Diceros bicornis minor: one gene and its partner. Each later gene encodes a partner of the first gene's protein in a complex. Links are inferred from orthologs where the notes say so. Each region holds a gene or a part of one and is shown on either strand. Other genes may lie near its edges. The genes, in order: BICD2 and BICDL1.

The links.
Region 2: BICD2 (region 1) and BICDL1 share a complex: the UniProt entries of both Homo sapiens proteins name them as parts of the tripartite complex. The link is inferred for Diceros bicornis minor from reciprocal best matches to the Homo sapiens genes BICD2 and BICDL1.

Annotation. Positions count from the first base shown.
Region 1 is NC_080761.1:58,962,942-58,973,990, reverse strand, and holds the start of BICD2 (protein bicaudal D homolog 2), read right to left. Parts: upstream 4,486-11,049; 5' UTR 4,431-4,485; coding exon 4,191-4,430; intron 1-4,190. UniProt on the Homo sapiens protein: Acts as an adapter protein linking the dynein motor complex to various cargos and converts dynein from a non-processive to a highly processive motor in the presence of dynactin.
Region 2 is NC_080774.1:16,564,912-16,575,409, forward strand, and holds the start of BICDL1 (BICD family-like cargo adapter 1), read left to right. Parts: upstream 1-6,231; 5' UTR 6,232-6,273; coding exon 6,274-6,708; intron 6,709-10,498. UniProt on the Homo sapiens protein: Acts as an adapter protein linking the dynein motor complex to various cargos and converts dynein from a non-processive to a highly processive motor in the presence of dynactin.

The DNA of each region.
Region 1 (11,049 bases):
AATCTCAGCCTCTGCACCAGGCGACCGGGTGACAGCAGGCAGGGCCGCAGGTTCACAGCTGTAGACAGCCCGCCTGGCGCACCCCGTTCCGGGGGTCAGTGTCCTCTCTGACCATCCAGGGAATCCCTCAGGCTGGGGGACAAGCCGGGATCTCTGCAGTGCATGCCAGACAGGGTGTGAGGGGAAGGAGGGAGGAGAGCACCCAGGCGGCCCAGGGAGCAATGACAGGGGCCTGCAGAGTGGGGTCCCAGGCCACCCTGACGCCATCACCAGGGGAGAAGCTGCTCCACTGCCAGGGCTTCAGGGAGGGGACTGCTCAGGGTCACATCATGCCTTGCTGACACACAGCCCTCACTCTGAGACCTGGCATTTCCACCTGTGGAACGGGGACAGGACAGCTTCTCCCTCCTGGTTCAGAGACAGCTATGCACCTCTCGGCGTCCCAGTCAGGACACACTGGATGGGTGACCATGAGCCCCTGGGCGGGCAGAGGAGACACAACAAAGGCTGGTCTAACAAATGAACTGGAGGGCGGCAACGACCCAACAATGCAAAAGCCAGGCCTTGCACCAGCTGAAGGCAGCACTCCGCCAATTTTTTAAAAAAGAAAAAGAAAAGTCAAGCGTGAGGTGCCTGGCCTGCATCGGTGGGGTGGTGACCCTGAGGGCTGGTGTGTGGACTGGAGGAGTCAGTGGGCGTGGGGAGGCTACAGCAGGAGCAGGTCACCTACAGGGGTGAGGCCGTGGGACTCAACGGGCTCATAGCCATGACTTCCACACAAGGACTTGGATGAGAACCTGGTGCCCGAGGACCCCTTCCAACTTGGTCTGGGCTCTGGGCCCTCCTCAGTCACTCCCACACACCCCCAGCTCTGCTTCCTCATCCCCTGGGAGAGAAGATCACAAGAGGGAGGAGAGGGAGGGAGCGAAGGGAACAGAGCAGCTGCTCCCACCAGCTCTGCCCCAGCCCTTCATCCTGCAGGAAGGAAGGGACACCCCGGAGTTGGGTGCTGGGCTCAGGCAAGTCCACAGGCGGCAGAGGAGGCTCACAGAAGCGTCCAGGCCTTGAAGCTCTGGCAGGAGAAGGGTGACAACAGCAAAGGCAGCAGGGATAGGGAACAGAGGAGGGGAAGCAGTGCATGCCGCCCTCTGAGAGAGGCAGCAGGGCTGCTCCAGACCACGCCAGGACAAGGAACAGAGGCCAGGTGGCCGCCGGGACGGCCGGGAGGGGATCCAGGCCCAAGTTAGGTGGAGGCAAGGAGCCGACGACACCAGCCAGCAGACACTTACTGAGTCAGCACTTGCCGGGTGCCGGGCCCCATGCCCAGCCTGTGACACTTGCAGCTCACCAAACTCCACTCACTGCTTCCCCAGACCTAAGTGCACAGACCAGTTCCCGAGGTGACACAGACAGCATCGAGGGCGTCCAGACCCGGTCTTCCTGCTTTCTCGGGGAGCCCAGAGAGGGTGGGGCTGAGACTGCACCAGGACCCCACTCCTGGCCTGAGGCATGCTCTCCAGCCCTCACATCCCCACCCACAAAGACCACCCACTCCTGGGACCTGCCTCAGCCCTGTAGGCAAGAGCTGCCACCCCAGCACACCTGTTCCCTTGAAGGTGCACCTGAGGACACAGAGCGGGGTGTCCCACGGCCACTCAGGACAGGAAATACCACGTGGCTGACCAAGGTCCACCCGATTTTCTTCCCCACCATGGCGGGGAGTGGCACAGTGGGACCTGGGACAGAGGGGGCCCTTATTAAGCCAGGCTCAATCACCAGCAAAATGATTAGGCAAAACGGGCCAGCGGGTGCCCCTCAAACACACACCATGGTGTTGGCAGGACACAGACAAGGACGTACACATACTCACCAAGGGAGAAAGGCTGCAGTGCCAGCTCTGCCACCCACTGGCCCACCACTGGACCTTCCTCAGCACGACCCCACTCAACCGGGACCAGCCAGCCAGCATCCCTCCCTCAGAAAAGGCATTATCTACAAATGCCGGCAGGAGCACAGCACCTCCATTTGTAGCACAAACTGTAAGTAACTGGACCCATTTCAGTTCAAGAAATAAAGTTTTAAAAGAATAAAGATGGTTCACTTCACAGGACAAAAAAGAAAAGACCCAATGAATATCATCTCCTTAAGTCTTGGTTTTCAAAATAAGAATTAACATTTTCAAGCATGACACTGGCCAAAACCCAATAGGTTGACAAGAGCCTGAGCTGGCCTGAGTGTGAGTGAACTGGTGCGAGCTTTCAGACAACGTCTACCGAGACGATGCAACCTCCTCCAGCTTCTGCCGCAACTTCTAGGTGAACCGTTCTCACCTCACCTACAACAGGGAAAACTGACGGTCAGGACGGTGGGGCAACCTGTCCAAGGCCATACGGCCAGTGCGGGCAGGAGCCAGGAGGTGACACCAAACTAAGCAAGCAGGTGCCTGAAGAACTCCAGCCTCCTCCTGGTTCCCCGTGACCCACCCTCCAAACACATCCCACAAAACCGAGCCAAGATTCTTGCATTGGCCAAAATGTTTGTGTTTGTGAAAGTCAAAAGCTGACAACTGAAAGATCCCTAAACTGGGATGAGTTCCATCTGCAACAGTCCCTTCTTACAGCAGACATGGATGAGACCTTGTGAATGCACAAGGGGACTGTGCACGCTGCCAGCAGGGGCTCAGGAGAAACCCTGAGGAGAAGGCGAAGGCTGGGCCTGCCTCTGAGCTGCGGAGAGTGAGCCCCATCCCAGGAGACCAGAATGGGGCGAGCGTGCGCTATTTCCTATGCTCACAGCTCCCTGGCCTCCCTCTGCAGTGGGTGCATCCTCCCACCCCACACACATCCTTGCAGGAGGGACCACATGTCACTCCTCTTGTAGATCCAACACCAGCAGAGCCTGGCTCAGAGAAGGCGCCAATCCGTGCTAACAGATGACAGGACCGTGGGTCGTGGGTCAGATGAGCCACCACCTGCCCCCACTCCCGCCAAATCATTTATTGATACTAACAGAGCACCTGCTCTGCCAGGCATGGATTTAGGCACCTATGAGGATTAATTCTTTCTCTCCTCTTTACTATCATAATGGGTTCCTACTGGTCCTCCAGTGAGAAATGGAGGCTCTGAACAATCCAGGCACTTGCCCCAAGCCACTAGCAGCAGAGTTGCCGGAAGGTGGGCGGTTGGAGAAACAGCAAGTATGGTGGATCCTGAGACCAATGGCCAAGAGCCCACCTGGACAAGGGAAGAGTCAGGTGGAGAAGGGGCACGCTGTCAAAGAAACCGACAGGCCACGTGCCTGACACCACACTGGGCCTTTTCAAACACACGACCCTCAGACCAACCCTTTCTGCGTGGGCAATGCCGCAGAAAGAGAAGCTAAGGCCCCTGCCCACAGCCACATCACCAGCAAGGGGCTAGGCCTTGGTCCAAACCTGGGTGTTCCACCCAGAAAGCCACTTCTCCCTCCCCACCCCCTACCACAGAGCGGGGGAGTCAGGAGGACTGGGAGAGCGGGTGGTTAAGTCACCCAGGAGAACTCCTTCAGGAAGGACTGCCTGGCTTTCTCCCCGCCAGCCTCTCCAGCAGCCGGGGGTCGGACCTCCCCATTGCGGAGTGGAAACCACACAAGGCTCCCTCCCGACAAACACCCACAGACCTGTCACCCGCCCAGAAGGAAGGGCCTGGGAGGGCGGCAGGGACAAGAGGTGGGTGGGAGAAGTACAGATCCCAGAGAAGGAATTACGGGCGTGGGGAGGGCGCCCAGGTCAGCGCTGAGCCTGGGGAGGGGACTGAGGGACCCCAGCCAGCGGGGACGGCCACATGCAGGGCCAGCACCCCTCCCGGCCTCAGGGCGCTCATCGAGGCCGCTGAAGGCAGCTGCACCCAGGAGGAGAGGTGACCTGCTAGAAATGATGCGGCCGTGGCCTAGCCTTGACCTGCACCCATCCCACGCCCCCATCCCACCGGGAGACCAACACCGCAGAGGACGCACCGCCGCCCCGAGGCCTGCCGGAGCGGGAGACACGGCCCGCTGCACACCACAGCTGGGCCCGCCGGGCACGCCGGCCCCGGGCGCCCGGTGCTGGCCAGCCTGGCCCGGCGAGGGGTCCGCTCGGCCCAGCTACGGGGGTCGGCCCGGCCCGGGGTCGGGGTCGGGTCGCGGTCCGGCCGGCCGGCCCTGCCCCTCACCTCCTTGAGCTGCTCCATCTCGCCGCGGACGGCCTCGTAGTCCACCTCGAGCTCCTCGAACTGCAGCTTGAGCTGGTGCTTCTCCTCCAGCACCGCCAGCCCGTACTCGGCCGCCTGGATCTTCTCGCGCGTGGTCTCGGCCAGCTCGTGCGACAGCCGCTTCACTTCGGCGCGCAGCCACTCGGGCTGCGCCTCCATCACCAGCCGCGCGTACTCCTCCTCCTCCGACGGCGCCGACATGGTGGCCGCGGCCCGGCTCGCGCAGCTCGCACCGAGGCTCCGGCCGGCTCCCGTCCCCGCCGCCGCCCAGCCCGACGGCGCCCGGGCCGCCGCCGCGCAGCCGCAGTACGCTCCCCGTCGCGCGGGGCACTCTGGGGGCGGCGGTCCGGTCCGCGCGACTACACGGCCCGTCGTGCCCCGCGCCCGCCCGTCCCAGCCCGTGATTGGCCCGCGCCCCGCGCTGGGCAGCCCCTCCCATCACTATCGCCCCGCCCCCGCCCCTGGGGCATTGTGGGGGCTGTAGTCCCGCCTGCTCGCCGACTACAAGGCCCGTCGTGCCTCGCGCCTGCCCGTCCCCGGCCGTGATTGGCCCGCGCCGCTGCCGTCGCAGAGCCGGAAACACTGCTACCTTCCGGCGCCCGCGGCCTGCGCACGACGACTCGGACGGCGGGGCGGGCGGAGCCCAGGACGTAGGGGTGGAGCGATGGTCGAGCGCGGTGTGGGGTTCTAGTAGGGACGCGCGCGGACCCGCATCCGGGGAAACGGGCACGCAGGGGACGACCGCCAGTGGGATGCGACAGGCGCCCGGCGTGTTTCCCTGCGGGTCTGCGGGTCCCGGGACCCGACTCAGGACCACATGGCGTCCGGCCCGGGTCACGCTCGCGGGGCCGCGTGTCCTCTCGCCCCCCGCGTCGCGCGCAGGCCGGGCCGTGCACTCGTGTGTCCTCGCGGCCGGAGCGGGACTCTGCCAGGTGGTGCTGCGTCCGGCGTCCGGGCAGAGGCGCGATTGCTTCCCCGAGGTCGCTGCTGGGTTTCCCGCGGCTGATACCCCGCGAGAGGACGCTTTGAGACGATGCAAATATCCTGTCGTGCCTCAGACCTGAACCCACTAGGTTTCGTTGGTGTTTCTTCACTAAATGAATTATTACCATACTATTTTTTTTTTCTATTTCCATCATTCCTTCTCCACTTACTAGCTTTGCGTTCTAGGGAAGACAGTCCACTCATTAGCGGTGTGGATCCATCGATTCTTATTTTACTCCATGAGTTACCACCCATTACTCTCCGTATTTACTTAGATGCTCAAATGGTGGCAGATTGAGCCGGTGGGAGCTCCACCAAGCTGGCTCCGTGTCCTTCAGCAGGTCATAATTTGTTAGCACTTCCTTGCTCTTTGGCACCGGTTGTTCCAGGATCTTCTTATACTCTCAGTATCCCAGACCTGGAATCACCATTTCTCCAAGGAGCCTGATTACGTTTAGTCGTTTAATGTATGAGGAGAATGTGTCATAATTTTACTTGTGAAATTAAAAAATAATTTTTAAGGCGTTCAACCACAGTAGGAGTAGGTTGTCCAAGCACTGTGGTTTGCCTGGGACTGTCCTGGTTTTAGCACTGAAAGTCCAGAGTCCTGGGAAGCGCTCAGGCCTGGGCACACCCTTCAGCCTAAGTGGGAGAGATCCTTCGGAAAAGAGGGGAGAAGGACCAGGTGAGCTATTGGCTATTCAGGGTCCCTTGAGATTCCATATGAGTTATAGGATGGGTTTTTCTATTTGGCGAAAAGTGCTGTTGGGATCTTGATAGAGATTGCATTGAATCTGTAGAAGTTTTTGAGTAGTAGTGTCGTCTTAACAATATTGTCTTCCAGTCCCATTTATACAGAATGTCTTTCCATGTGTATGTCGTCTTTAATTTCTTTCAGCAATGTTTTGCAATTTTCCATATACAAGTCTTTTCCCTCCTTGGTTAATTCCTATTTTTTTTTAAAGCTATTGTAACTGGAATTGTTTTCTTAATTTCCTTTTCAGATTATCATTAGTGTATAGAAATGCAACTGATTTTTGTGTGTTGATTTTGTATCCTACAACCTTGCTGAATAAACTGTTTATTAGCTCTAATAGTTTTTTTGCCATGAAATCTGTAGTGGTTTCTACATATGAGATCATGTCATCTATGGACAAAGATAATTTTACTTTTCCCTTTCCAATTTGGATGCCTTTTATTTCTTTTTCTTGCCTAATTGCTCTGGTTAGGACTTTCAATACTATGTTGAACAGAAGCGGCAGAAACAGGCATCCTTGTCTTGTTCCTGATCTTAGGGGGACAGTTGTCCATCTTTCACCATTGAGTATGATGTTCACTGTGGGTTTTTCACGTATGGCCTTTACATGTTGAGGAGGTTACCTTCTATTCCTAGTTTGTTGAGTGTTTTTATCATGAAAGAGTGTTAGACTTTGTCAAATGGTTTTTTGCATCAATTGAGGTCATCATATGGTTTTTTCCCTCTTCATTCTGTCAATGACCACATTAACACATCAACATTACATTGGTTGAGTTTCATATGTTGAACCATCCTTACATTCTGGGATTAAATCCTATTTGGTCACCATATGTAATCCTTTTAATATGCAGCAGATTTTGGTTGGCTAGTATTTTGTTAAGGATTTTTGCATCAATATTCATAAGGGATAAGTGGTCTGTAAGGAATGTATTTTTAAAGGTATATGAAAGTCATCCAACTCCCTTGGTTAAGATGATGGGGCTACATGGAACTGAACATGACACGATGTTAAGAGGAGGAAACAGAGGAGAGTCCTTGTGCTTGCAGCTCTGGAACCGGGCCTTGCACACTCCTGCAGAGCTGGAGGAGGAGAAGTGGAATCACTGAGGTTTGAATGGTGGTGGGAGTGTAGGGAATTATTTTTCCTTGAACATTTTTTAATTAAGGATTTATTGTTAATTTTAGGTGTTATTATGTAAGAAAATGCCTTTTTGGATATAAATACATCCTGAGGTACTTACAGGTGGAGAACATGATGTTTGGCGTTTGTTTTAAAATACTCCAGAAAAAAGAGATGGAGATAATGAAACAAGCAGTAGTTGTTGATGGTAGTTGAAGCTGGGTGGGGGCACACACTGCTACACTGTGCTCTTGACTTTTGGGTCTATTTTGGAATTTTTTTAATAAAAATTTTCAAATGTTTTAATGTTGCAATGGCACTATCTTCATAAAGCCTGAAAAGACAAAAAAAAAAAAAAAATCATTTACCTGTCTGCTCTGAATGTGTGAGGCTGCCATCTGAGTGCCACTTGACTTTTAGGTGCCTGACCAATGGGCATGAATTCTGACCTCGTGCTTCAAGCTACTCCTTATTTTAAGGGATATCCACTGGTATCCCTTTTATTGGTTGCTGTCATGTGTCTGCTTACATGACTTTATTTTTTAAAATACTGTTATTGTTTGTAGGTAATATGCACATGATTAAAATTTCAGTTTAAAGAAACGTACAACTACACACCACCAACTTAAAAAGTAAATTGGGGGTCTGGCCCGGTGGTGCAGTGGTTAAGTGCGCATACTCTGCTTTGGCAGCTCGGGGTGTGAGAGTTTGGATCCCGAGTGTGCACTAGTGCACCGCTTGTCAAGCCATGCTGTGGGGGCATCCCATATAAAGTAGAGGAAGACGAGCATGGATGTTAGCCCAGGGCTGATCTTCCTCAGCAAAAAAGAGGAGGATTGGCAACAGATGTTAGCTCAGGGCTAATCTTCCTCACACACAAAAAGTAAATTGGCCAGTTGTTTTACTCGCAAAATTAGTTTATTTGGGAACAACCAAAAGAATTGCAACTAGGGATGTGCATGCTATGGCAGACCATAGACAAATCCAGAGAACAAGGAAGGAGCCTGCTTTATAGAGGAAAAGGGGGAATTGGGAGGGGCTGTAATAAACGAAGAATCCATTGGAGGAAACTGGGAGTCCAAAGTGTAGAGGCATTGGTTGGGTTGCTACAGTCTCTCACTGGCTGGGCTGTTGCTGGGTGGGGAGAGAAATCTTCCTCCGGCTGGGTAATCAAGTAGAAAAGAAAACACCTTCCTGCCCCAGTTGCAAGTGTACCTCTCCCTGTTTGGAGTAATTGATAGGGCGTCAAGCTCCCCCTACAGGCCTTCCTGTTTCCAATTTTAGTTGAGGTTTCCTTTACTAATTTTCACAACACCTATCAGAATGGCTAAAATAGAAAAAAACAAAACAAAAACCATCAACAAAAGTGACAGCAACAAATGTTGACGAAGATGTGGAGAAATGGGATGGCTCATATACTCTTTGGGGAAGGTAAAATGGTGTAGCTACTCTGGAAAACTTTGGCTTTTTCTTATAAAACCAAACATGCCATCACCACAGGACTCAGTAGTTTCGTTCCTGGGCATTTATCTCAGAGAAATGAGAACTTGTGTTCACATAAAAGCCTGTATACAAATATTCATAGCAGCTTTATTCATAAAACCTACAAATCGGAAACAACCCAAAAAGTCTTTCATTGGGTTAATGGTGGAACCAACTGGTACAGCCGTACCATGAAATACTACTCAGCAATAAAAAGAATGAACTATGGATACATACAACCACCTGAGTGAATCTCCAGAGAATCATACTGAGTGAAAGAAGCCAATACCCAAAGGTTACGCAATGTATGATTCCATTCATATGGCCTTTCAGAAAGAACAAAATTAAAAAGATGGAGAACACTTTAGTGGTGGCTAGGGGTTGGGTTGGGGAGGGTGTATGAGGGTATAAAAGAGCAACATGAGGGACCCTTATGGTCATGGAAATGTTCTGTGTCTTGCTGTGATATGTAACATGAATATACGCTGGCAATAAAATTGCACAGAACTGACACACACACACGGAGTACACATAAACCTCATGGGATCTGAATTAGAAGGGTGGCTTGTGTCAATACCAGCTTCTCGGTTGTGATATTTGATGATAGTTACGAGAAATATAACTGAGAAAATATGGTGTGCCAAAATTTGATGAGGAAGATTTTAACCCAAAGTGCTCATTTCTGTCAGAGATAAAAGAAACTAATAATATTAAAATTATACTTTTTTTTTTTTTTGGTGAGGAAGATTGTCGCTGAGCTAACAACTGTGCCAATCTTCCTCTGTTTTGTATGTGAGATGCTGCCACAGTGTGGCTTGGTAAGCCGTGTGTAGGTGTGCCCTAGGGATCCGAACCTGAGGAACCACGGGCTGCTGGAGCACATGAACTTAACTACTATGCCAGCAGGCCGGTGCCTATACATATTTGCACATAAAAAATATATACAAAGAAAAGCAAACCCCCCCACGAGGAGAAATACAAGAATATATTTCTTTTCATTTAAAAAAATAATGTACTGTACACACTGATCCCCATCAGCACGTGATGTGTGATGGCGGTACGGTACACACTATTTCCCATCAGCATGTGATGTGTGATGGTCTTTGTGTTTCTTATCACTGTTTCTTGTCAGCATATATTTTTAAGACTGCACAGTACTCCATGGTATAGGTGTGTTGTACTTCCACTCCACTGATGGACTTTTAGGTTGTTTCTGGCCTTTTACAACCACACCAGTGCAGAAATAAGCATCCTTACCCATCTTCTTTGAGGCTTGCACAATCTCTTGTTCCTGGAAGGGGGACGTTTCAGTTAGTTAAGTTGTTGAACAAATATTGCCGTAGCTGTTCAGTGATATAGCTGCTGAGATGGGAGCTATTTGGGTGCCTTTCCTAATCCAGCTTCTGACCGATGAATGCACACCTTTGTCCTTGGGCTTTCCTGCCAAGATCTCACCCCTGTCCTCAGTGTCCAGTGGCAAGGACAGCTCTGGAGGGGGCATTTAATCAGGGCAATTGTCCAGCACTCAAAATTATCTGCAAATGGGGCTAGCCTGGGAGCATAGTGGTTGGGGTCATGCGCTCTGCTTCAGCGGCCCAGGGTTCACGGTTTCGGATCCCTTGTGTGGACCTACACCACTCATCAAGCCATGCTGTGGAGGTGTCCCACATACAAAATGGAGGAAGATGGTAGCTCAGTGCCAATCTTTCTCACCAGAAAAAAAAATTGTCTGCAAGAATCTCTCCTCCTCCACGTGGCTCCTTTCGCCCTTTGAAGCTTTGACACACTCCCCAAATTAATATATGTATTCAACACAATCTTTATTAAAATTCTAGCTGAGTTTTTTTTTTTTTTTTTGCAGAAATTGATCAATGGAATAGAATCGAGAGTCCAGCAATCAACCCACATCTTTATGGTGAGTTGATTTTCAACAAATGCTCCTGGGACAATGGGAAATCCACACACAGAAGAATGAAGCTGGAACCCCACCTCCCACCAGACGCAAAATTAACTCAAAATGGATCAAAGACCTAAATGGAAGAGGTAAAGCTATGATTCTCTTAGAAGAAAACACATGCATAAATCTATGTGACCTTGGATTAAGCAATGGTTTCTTAGATATGACACCAAAAGTGCAAGCAAAAAAGAAAAGAAACAAGAAAAAATAAATTGGACTTTATCAAATTTAAAATTTGTGCTTCACAGGACAATATTAAGACCAGAATGGGAGAAAAATTTTCAAATTATATATCTGGTAAGATCTAGTATCCAGAACTCTCTGAGCACAGATTGACTTGCAAGTCAACCTCCAAGTCCCTGGTGTCACCCCAGCTCTCAGGCCGGTGGCATGGTGCCCTCTGCTGGCCACACGCAGCTCTGCACTGGAGGACCCACCTGGGGCAGGGCCTTGAGGGAAGGGTTCTTCCCTGGGGGCAGGAGTAGGCGCGTTTGGGGGGACTAGAGGAGGAGGGGGTCAG
Region 2 (10,498 bases), on another chromosome or scaffold:
ACGTTAAGCAGCATCTCTGATCTCTTCCCACTAGATGCCAGTAGCATCCCCCAATTCCAGTTGTGACCAGCAAAAATGTCTCCAAATATTGCTCAATGTCCCCAGGGGTCAAAAGCACCCCCAGTTGAGAACCACTGGTTTAGAAGATGAAGGATGATCATCCAGCCCAACCTCTTAGCATACAGATGATGAAACCAAAGCCCAAGCACATTGAATGCCTTGCTCAAATGTACACAGTTGGCTAGTGCCAGATGTAACCCAGAAACCCCAGATCATCACTCTCAATAACTCCACTATACTCCAACTTTAGTCATTTGCATACCATCACCATGATTTTGCCGTACCCAAAGCCACCTATATTCTTTTTTATTATTTTTATTTGAGTTGACTCATTTTTTAACTTAATACATTTATTTTGAAAGGAAACAGGCATATAAGACAGAAGAAGACAGACGTAAAAGTTAGGAAAGATCATGGTGTCAGAGGGAGAGATCTGTGCTCAGTTATTTTACATATTTATTTATTTATCAAACACCCATATTGTACCTACCATGTGCCAGGCACCATTTTAAGTGCTTTACATATATGAAATCTTTTGGGCTTAATAATGACCTTATTAGGTAAGTACTACTATTATCCTCATTTTATGAATGAGGATACTGAGGCATACACGTCTAAGATGACCCAACTGATAAGTGGCAGCACTGGGATTCCAGCCCAGGGAGTCTGGCTCCAGAGTCCATGCTCTTAATCAGTAAGGGCAAAATCTGGAAATGCCTGATGAGAAGGAGCTGAAACATGAGTCTGGAGCTGAAAACTCCAAAGTATTTCCTGAATAGTCAGGAAATAATGAGCAGAGGTAAAAATGCAGCTAAGACCTGGGGTGTTAAGCTAATCCTTGGGAGAGGCGAACTCTCACCTGGAAGAGAAAAGTTGGGCAGGGATGGTGATGGGAAGGGACTGGATCTGGGGGAGAGGGAACCAGGGAGATGAGGCTTTGACTAAGTAAAGAGCGCCAGGCCGAGAGAAACAAAAAGCTTGGCAGGGTGGGGAAATAAGGAGGGTGGAGGTGGAAATTCAGGCAGAAAGGTGATCTGAGAAAAGGTAAAAGGGAGTGTGGGGTGGAAGTAAAGGCCCCAGCGAGGGGTGGGAGGGGGGTGAGGGGGAATGAGTGAGGGAGCTGTCAAGGTGAGCACCTAGAAATGGGAGGAGTTGCGGCAATTTAGGTGGGGCTGGGAAGGGGTGACAGCAGGGCAAGCTGGGGCATCATGATGGGTAGCAGAGAAAGCACATTCCCACACCAGGCAGGGCAAGGTGTCTGCTAAAGACTGATGCTGGTGAGCACCAGCCACTGAACTTAATGTTTTTTCCCTTAAAAATCAACTTAAGAATCACTAGGGGTAAATACACCACATTTTGCAAAATGTTGAATCAATTCATCTCCAAAAAACATAAAAAGCTTTTGGGTAACATTTGAGGCATTTTTGAGACTTTTATGTTCCCACGACTAGTTCATAAATAAAATATATAACTTAAAAAATGCACACACACTTGTAATTGCTGAATGAAAATACCAAGCGTAGAACTGCTTTATCACGTTTTGCCAGCTCCTCATGTGTCTTCAACACTCGACTTTTCAAAAACAAATTTTCTGGAAAATGTTTTGTCTTTTACACTTTCCAGCTTTGCAGATCAAGATGTTAATAAAAATAAACAACTTGGGGAAATTCGATGAGTGTTGTCATATTTGGAAATATTGGGATTTCTAAGAAAGAAAATTTCATGTTTTGCCCTTAATAATGTAACAGCACTTACGTGGAAATCCATCCATGATATGTTAAGATGGGTCATACCCAAGTTCACCAGAATATCCAGGTACCAAAAGTAACACTAATGCAAATATATTTAAAGGAATATCTGAATGATAAAAATGTGAAGTGAGGCATGGTAACTAAAAGCAAGCATTTTAGAGTCATACAGGCCTAAAATACTAGCATCTTAGTATCATGTAGTGGTATATATTGGTGTTACATAGTAGCATTATAGAGTTATTGTGAGGATTAAATGAAATGTCATATAAAGGATTTAAGGAATGTAGTGCTAAATATATTTTACCTACTTTGTTCCAGTGTGAAGCAGAATAAACTAAATAAGTTTTAGAAGACTGAGGGTTTTCATAACTTTGCTTTGATGAGTTTTCAATCCTGGCACTAATTTCCTTGTATGCAAGAACTTGTTCTTTCTTCTTAGTGCAAGACTGAGCTAATAGTCTTGAGTGGCTCTAAATCAACAGTTCTCAAAGTGTGGTTCACCAACTCCTGAAGGTCCCAAAGACCTTTTCAGGGGGGCCTACGAAGTAAACATTATTTTCATAATAATTGCAATGATAGTGATTCTAATTTTATTAATAATAGTAAAACTAATTACATAATAATACTAATTGTCTAATAGTATTTTCATTTTTCACTGTGTTGACATTTGCACTGATGGTGCAAAAGCAATGGCGGGTAATACTACTGATACCTTAGCAGGAATCAAGGCCGTGGTACTCAAGTGTACTGGTAGACATGTTATTCTTCACTACCATGTACTCACAGGAAGAAAAAATGTAGTTTCACCTAAGAACGTCCCTGATGAAGCAGTACTTGTATTAAATCCTGTACTTATATTAAATGAGAGGTATCCATAAAGCACTTCTGCTGCATATCTAACTACAATAGTTGTGTTGAGATAAAGCACTTGTACCATCATTTGAGTTGTGAGCTGAACTAGCCACGTTTTTCATGGAACACCATTTTTCCTTGAATGAATGACTGACAAACGATGGTATTCAGATTTGGGTATTTGACAGACATTTTCTCAAAAATTAATGAAGCAAGTCTGTCACTTCAGGGAAAACAGACAATATTATTACAAATGATAAAATTGGAGCTTTCAAGTAGGAATAAGAATTTTGGAAAATTCATATCCACCTCAATGAGCTTGATAGCTTGCTAATACTTACTTTTCTGATGAGATCAGAGTGATTTTTCAATATATAGTATAATTACATGTGACAATATTTGGAAGATCTGCACGACTCAGTGAACAAATATTTTCCAAATGACCAATACATGCTGTTACAGAATCAATCACATGTAGGTACAAGATCCATTCAAAGTGGAAGATAGATCAATGGATTTCCTTGATATAGTTTTGGATTCCACATTGCAACTAACCTTTAAGAAGCTATCACTTGTCAAATTTTGGTGTAATATCAAAGAAAAATATCCACAATGATCTGAAAAGGCTATTAAAATAATTCCTCCTTTTCCCAACTACATCTTTGTGAGACCAGATTTTCTTCATCAATCATTTTGTTTCAATCAAAATGAAATATCACATTCAATGGAGACACAGATACAAAAATCCAGTTTTCTACTATCAAGCCAATCATCAAGGAGATTTGCAAAAATGAAAAATAATGCCACTCCTCTCACTCATTTTTTTTTACTTGGGATTATATAGTTATTTTTCATTAAAATGTATCGTGTTAAAATGTAATAGGTTTATTATAAGCATTTTAAATTTTTGTTTTAATTTTTAAATATCAATATGTAAACCTATATAAACTAAAGGTTTTTGAGATCATCAATAATTTTTAAGAGTATAAAGAGGTTCTGAGACCAAAAAGTTACGAACCACTATTCTAAATAGTTCTCCAAACTTGAACTGGTCTCCTTCGACCATTCACAGGAAGATAGCGCTTAGGGCCAAACCTACAGTAGAAAACAATCACTTCCTAGTCAGGTTAGGCAGGAACATTGTGAGGAAGGATCTTCAGGAGCTAGAGTTAGCACTGTGGAGAGTTCATTCTAACTAAGGTAAATCTAATAGAGTAGGACCATTGAGTTCAACAAAGGCAAGCCAAAGATCTTTTAGGAAAGACAGGCTGCAAGTCTGCATCAAGGAAAAATAAATAGCTGAAATCCCTTTTGATTAGGAATTGTTTGCTCTTGATATGTGTCTCTATAAATAGATTAGGGAGAAACTTGTCCTTTCCTAATCAAAAGAGAGTTGCAATTGGATTTCACCATGGGCCCACAATTTCTGCTCAAGAGGGCATAATATAGTGTTAGAACAGTTCATGACTGAAATGATACCACTGTCAACTTCCAAAATCTAGCTCTAAGATTGATGTAGGAACCCCTCCGTGGTCTGTCTCCTTTCCAATCAACAAGCAAACGAAGCCAGCCCTGAGGCTCAAGCCCTTTCCAATTCTCACCTTTCAGACTGAGGGTAGAAAGTGATGTATATACCCGAATATTGTTTAAGTTCTGAATTTAATAAGGAATAAAAGCCATGAGAAACCATTTGGCCCATTTCAGCCTCTTGGTGTCCTGAAATTTCCATCTCACTGTGATGAAAAGAATAAAGGTATGATTTAACTAAAAAGCAGGTTGCTGTCCAAAAGAAAAGGGAAAGAATTAGGGAGCAATTCTAGCTTCAGATGGGATTGTTTCTGAAAATAGGAGACAGAGCATCACCAATGAGGTCAAAGCAAGAACTGACAGGAATCACCCAGTAGGCTCTTCAATCTTTTGATCATTGCAGGAAGCTTTCCTGAAACTACCTTCGATATCCACCCAGGTCATCTCCCTCACAAATTACCATTTATCTTCCTCAAGACTTATATGTAAGGAAAGTAAGGATAACGATTTACATGAACCCTGGAGTCAGCCTGCCTGGATCTGATCTTGTATCTCTGGAGGCTCCAATTTCCTACTCTGTAAAATGGGGAGAGTCACAGTACTTACTTTATAAGATTCTTGTGAGGATTATCTAAGCTAATGCATATAAAGCACTTAACACAAGACATAGTACATACTAACTGCCTAATAAATGGAAGTTATTATTAGGGAGAGTCTTTGCTTCGTATTTCCATCTGTGAGCAGTTTTTTCCGTTATTTCTCAACATAACCTCTTTCTTTCGGGGCTGTAGATCTCCGAGGCATCTGGTCCCTCATATCCCTGAGTCATCATCATTAAGACGCCGGGTTTCTGAAGTCATCCCTTCTCCTACTGCTCTCTAGGGCTCCCTCTCCTGACTGCTTAGCTCTCGTGGGGGCCAGACCCAAATTCCATGACTATGAGTCTCTCTTGGGGCTTGGCCACCCGTCTTGGAGGAATGTCCCCAGTACCCTTGGAGACCACCTAAAAGGCGACGACGAAACTGAGCCGCAACAGACTCCGAGAAACGCCCAGCACAGGAGAGCGAGGCGGGGGGGGGGGTCGCGCCCGGAGGTGAGAACGAGGCGGGAGGCGGGGCGGTGCACCAAGGTGGGAACGAGGCCGGGGGCGGGGCCGCGCTCCGAGGTGTTCGTGCTGGGGGCGGGGCCACACCCCGCCGGGGGCGCGAGGCCGGGGGCGTGGCCGCGCCGGGGGGAGCAGCCCGACCGTTACGGACGCGCCAGCCGCCTCCGCAGGCGGTGCGCGCGCAGCCGCCGCCAGGCTTGAGGCAGCGCAGGGGTTAAGGCCGCCGGCGCCACCTGGGCGCCGCTGAGGAGACCCGCGAGCCGGCGAATCCCGCGCGGGCGCGGCGAACAGGTGCCCGCGCGCGTCAGGCGCCGGCAAGGGGCGGGGAGAGGGGGCGCGGCCGGAAGCCCGGGGCGGGGTGCGGCCGGCCGGGTGAACGGGAGGAGCCGAGGGAGGCAGGAAGGAGCTCGCCGGGCTGCGCGGCGCGCGATGTGGAGCCGCCGCCTCGGCGCTTGCAGCAGCAGCCGCCGCCGCCGCCGCTGCTGCCGCTGGGGCTGCCGCCGAGCCGAGGGACATGGAGCGCGGCTGCAGAGAGCGGCCGCCGGCAGCAGCAGCAGCGAGCGTCGCACCGACAGCGGAGCGCAGCCCGCCCCGTGAGGCGCTGCCGGGCCGGCGGCGGCAGCGGCAGCAGCAGCAGCAGCAACAGGGCGGCTAAAAACCCGGCGGCGGCGTTCCCCCTTGCCGCCTCTCCTCCCGCTTCGCGGCCCCTCAGCCTTCCCTTCCTCCGCCTTCCCTCTGCCACCCCCTCCTCCTCCCCAGCGCGCGCCGAGCAGCTGAGCGGGGGCGGGGGCGCGTGCCGCGGCGCGGGGGAGGGGCGGCCGGCGCGCGCCGCGCCCAGGGCTCCGGGGGCCCCGGGGGGCGCGTGCCGCGGCGCGAGGCGAGGCGCGGGGCGCGGGGCAGCGCGGCGGGGCCCCTCCCCCCTGCAGCCTGGCGCGCGCCGGCCGGGCCGCACCGCTGCGGGCTCCGCGCGCGCGGGCCATGTCCGCCTTCTGCCTGGGCTTGGCCGGCCGCGCTTCAGCACCCGCTGAGCCGGACAGCGCCTGCTGCATGGAGCTGCCCGCCGCGGCCGCGGACGCAGTCGGGAGTCCAGCCGCCGCCGCCGCCGCCCTCATCTCCTTCACCGGGGGCCCCGGGGAGCTGGAACTGGCGTTAGAGGAGGAGCTGGCGCTGCTGGCGACCGGGGAACGGCCGTCCGACCCCGGGGAGCATCCTCAGGCCGAGCCCGGGCCTCCGGCCGAGGGGACCGGACCGCAGCCGCCCCCCGCCCAGGATCCCGAGCTGCTGTCGGTGATCCGGCAGAAGGAGAAGGATCTGGTGTTGGCGGCCCGGCTGGGCAAGGCGCTGCTCGAGAGGAACCAGGACATGAGCCGGCAGTACGAGCAGATGCACAAGGAGCTGACGGATAAGCTGGAGGTGAGGACGTCCCTTCTGGGATGGGTAGGAAGCAGAGGGAGCCCAGGCACCCCCCGCCCGGCCCTGGGCAGCTTCGGGAGCCACCCACCCCACCCCTTCCTTCTTTGCTCACCCTCCCTCACAGAAAACCGCCTAGGAAGGGGGTAGAATGGAGGGTTTCGGATTATCAGACCAAGGCATCCATTGAACCCACCTGACTTTCTCACCCTGCTCGCAGGAAATGGGTCCATGCACACCTCCAAGCGCTGTGGGCCGTTCTATATATGTACTGTACACAGCATCTAAAATAGAGCTTACAGTATGACTAATTTATACAGCACTGAGGTGCTGTGTGCACGCAGAGAAATGAGAACGTCGGAAAGCATTTAAAATACACTCCCGGTTTTTGGAGTGGTTAATCTCTAATCAGGGTGTTAGCCTGGAGCTTTCCAGTTCTGGCGTTAAGGCTTCCAGATGCCCTTGTCTTAACTTCCCGGGAGCTCAGAGTTGTGGGAAACAAGTGCCTCTAAAGGAGCTTTATGTACCCTTCAAATACTCAGGGATTAGGAAATGTGGTTCCATTGCAGAAATCAGGCGAGCCTGGGCTCAGCATGTGACCATTGGTAGTGGATTTAATTTGGACCCCAGTATTCATGTGTATTTAAACAGTATTTTTCTGTGTTCTGGGCCTCACACATGCAACTGGATGGCCAAATGCAACCTATGAGAACCATGTTACTTCATTATTATAAATACCCTTTAAAGTATTGTAAGATTTCTGCTGATTCTCTGGACCAAAGTCTTTTGGAGCTATCCCTGTTTGTTCTCTTGCCCTTAACTAGAAGGGGCCTTGAAAGTAGTACGGAATGCCGCATATTTAAAAATTAGGGAGATTTTAAAAAGGAGAGGAGAGTATGGCAGTGGAGACGAGCTTATCCTTTTCTGCCTGTGCGTTTACTATTGTTACCCAGTTTGGTTGCAAACAGTTCTTTTTATTCTTAGTTACAAGAGAATAGTACAGTCCTGAATGACATCTGAAATTGACCCTAGTCTGGTACCATATCACTGCTACTGGTTGAACTGTCAGAATGTAGATTCAGAAACTTTTCTAGAATAAGAGTTAAGTGTGTCTGTAGTCTAACATATCAAAAGTGAATCAGAGAGAAAAAAGGAAACCAGTGAGTGCCCTGTAGTTCAGTTGGCCTGTTCACTAGGTCTGCCAGTCGATGAACTCCCGAGATACCTCTTTGAAAAGTGGTTTGTGAAACCTATGGGTAGACTGCCAAAAAGCAACCCAATGAATTGAACTGTTTAATTTTCATTTGAAGTGGAGGTCTTGAAATGAAAGGGTATCTTTTTTTCAAAAAGAGATTCGATTACACGACTCTATATAGAAGTACGACTGCAGAGATTTATACGTGTGATTTAAATTCCTTCAGTGAGGGACGTGATTGAAGAGACACATAACTTGAAAGGAACATCATATCAGTCAGTTTGATTAGTGACAGCTGTCAGAATAATCCTGAATATGCAATTACACACATCCTGGGTTCCATGTGGAGCCTTTATACATTTCTTCAACAGAGGAAAAAGATTTCAAAATTCTATAACAAGAAAGTTTCTGTTATTAAAAAGTAAGTTTCCTTTGACTTTTTGTCTTGAGTTAATAGACAATAATAAAATAGTTTAAAACTCTTATTTTTTTAAATCTTCACACCTCAACAGGTCAGCATATGAACTCTGGTGTTAAAAGTTTATTTTTGATTTCTGGAGGTTTGTTGCCCAACAGTGTGAAGGTACTTAACACTACTGAACTGTACACTTAAAAATGGTTAAGATGGTAAATTTTATGTATACTTTACCACAATTAAAAAACTAACATTTTTTAAAGGTTATTTTTAAAAAGTCAAGTATTGACCATTATTGAAGCTGAGTGATGGGGGGATTCAGTTATACTATTTCTTCTAGGTGTATTTAAAAATTATCATAAAAAATTTTTAGGTTTTTTTTAAACATACATTTAAAAATATCTTACAAAGATAATGTCATTAGCTCCTTGTTAATTCTTTTAGTGTTATTATTAGAGTGCCAAACCTGATTAATGGGATATTTCAGTTAATACCTGCAAGTGAATTTCCCCCACCATATTTTTTTTTTTTAATTTTTATTTATTTATTTTTCCCCAAAGCCCCAGTAGATAGTTGTATGTCATAGCTGCACATCCTTCTAGTTGCTGTATGTGGGACACGGCCTCAGCATGGCGGGAGAAGCAGTGCGTGGGTGCGGGCCCGGGATCCCAACTGGGCCGCCAGTAGCGGAGCTCCCGCACTTAACCGCTAAGCCACGAGGCCAGCCCTCCCCCACCATATATTTTTTAAGCAGCCTAGATTTTAGAATGTCTGTTTAGACAAAATACTTTCTCGAGTTTAACACAGCCACGCTGATATATTTTCAATTAAATTAAACATTTAGGAGTAGAGAACCAGCCCTTACTTTAAAAAGCGTTTGTAATTTTCCACAAACTGTCAGCCAGTGGAGTCAAACACATTTTCTCACAGGTTGGTTTGAAAGATAAATGCGTGAGTGGAGTCTGAGAGAATGTTGGTTTGACTATTAAATAATGAGACTGGTTTTGTTTTAGTCCTATCTGCTTCCTTACTACTACAAAATTGGCACCTTTCTGGGGCCGGCCCGGTGGCGCAAGTGGTTAAGTGCTCGAGCTCCGCTGTGGTGGCCCAGGGTTCGCCGGCCCGGATCCCGGGTGCACACCGACATACTGCTTGTCAAGCCATGCTGTGGCAGCATCCCATATAAAGTGGAGGAAGATGGGCGCGGATGTTGGCCCAGGGCTGGTCCTCCTCAGCAAAAAGAGGAGGATTGGCAGATGTTAGCTCAGGGCTGATCTTCCTCACAAAAAAAAAAAAAAAAAAATTGGCACCTGTCTAACTTCAGGACCAATTAGCCATTTTCAAGATCTATATTTCTACCTATTCATTAGTTAATATTGAATATCTTTCCAGGTCTGTGTGCCAAACCCAAGATTTTGTTTTATCGTTTAAAACATAAAGTACTTGATCTTACACTGCTTTCTCATTCGAGGCACACTCTTTAAAGTCTTTAATGGTTTAAAGGTTAACACAGAAGTTTGTTAGCTATACATCTCTTAAAATGAAGAGGGCTAAAGTGAAGATTCAGTTTAATTTGAAAGACTGTAAGGTTTTGGTCATTTTTTTCCACCCTTAAATTGACTGTGTTGTATTTTATTCATTCACTGAATCAGATTTTTATATGCTTAAAGTTCTAAACACATTTTTAAAAATTTATTTCTTCTGCATCTACAGTTAGCCCTTTTGCTTTTAAAACTTATATCCAGCCAGGTCCTTAGTTTTTTCCCCAGAATATGAAATAAGACAATAACTTGCATTTATACACTTTTTTTCTTTAGAGATTAAATATTTATTTAGTTTTAAAAATTATTGTTTTTAATGTACAGGATCCCCTTTTTTCCCATTCCAGCTAAGAGGGAGTTATCTCTTACTGCAGAGATAGTCTTTTTCCTCAATTACATTTTCTTCCCCCTTTCGTAGGCCAATTCTCATGATTCTGGTACCATTTTTTGAAGAGGGCAGAACAAGTAAGATGAAAATGATTACATAGTGGGAGTCACTCGTAGATTTAGGGAAACAAACCCAGAAGTCCTTATATGCATTCAGTGCTCAGTCCACTTAAAAAATAGTGCTTTTTCTTTGTATTTTTCCAGAACTGTATGCTGGATTTATGAGAATGGTGTTGCTTTTTGGTTCTTTGCAGA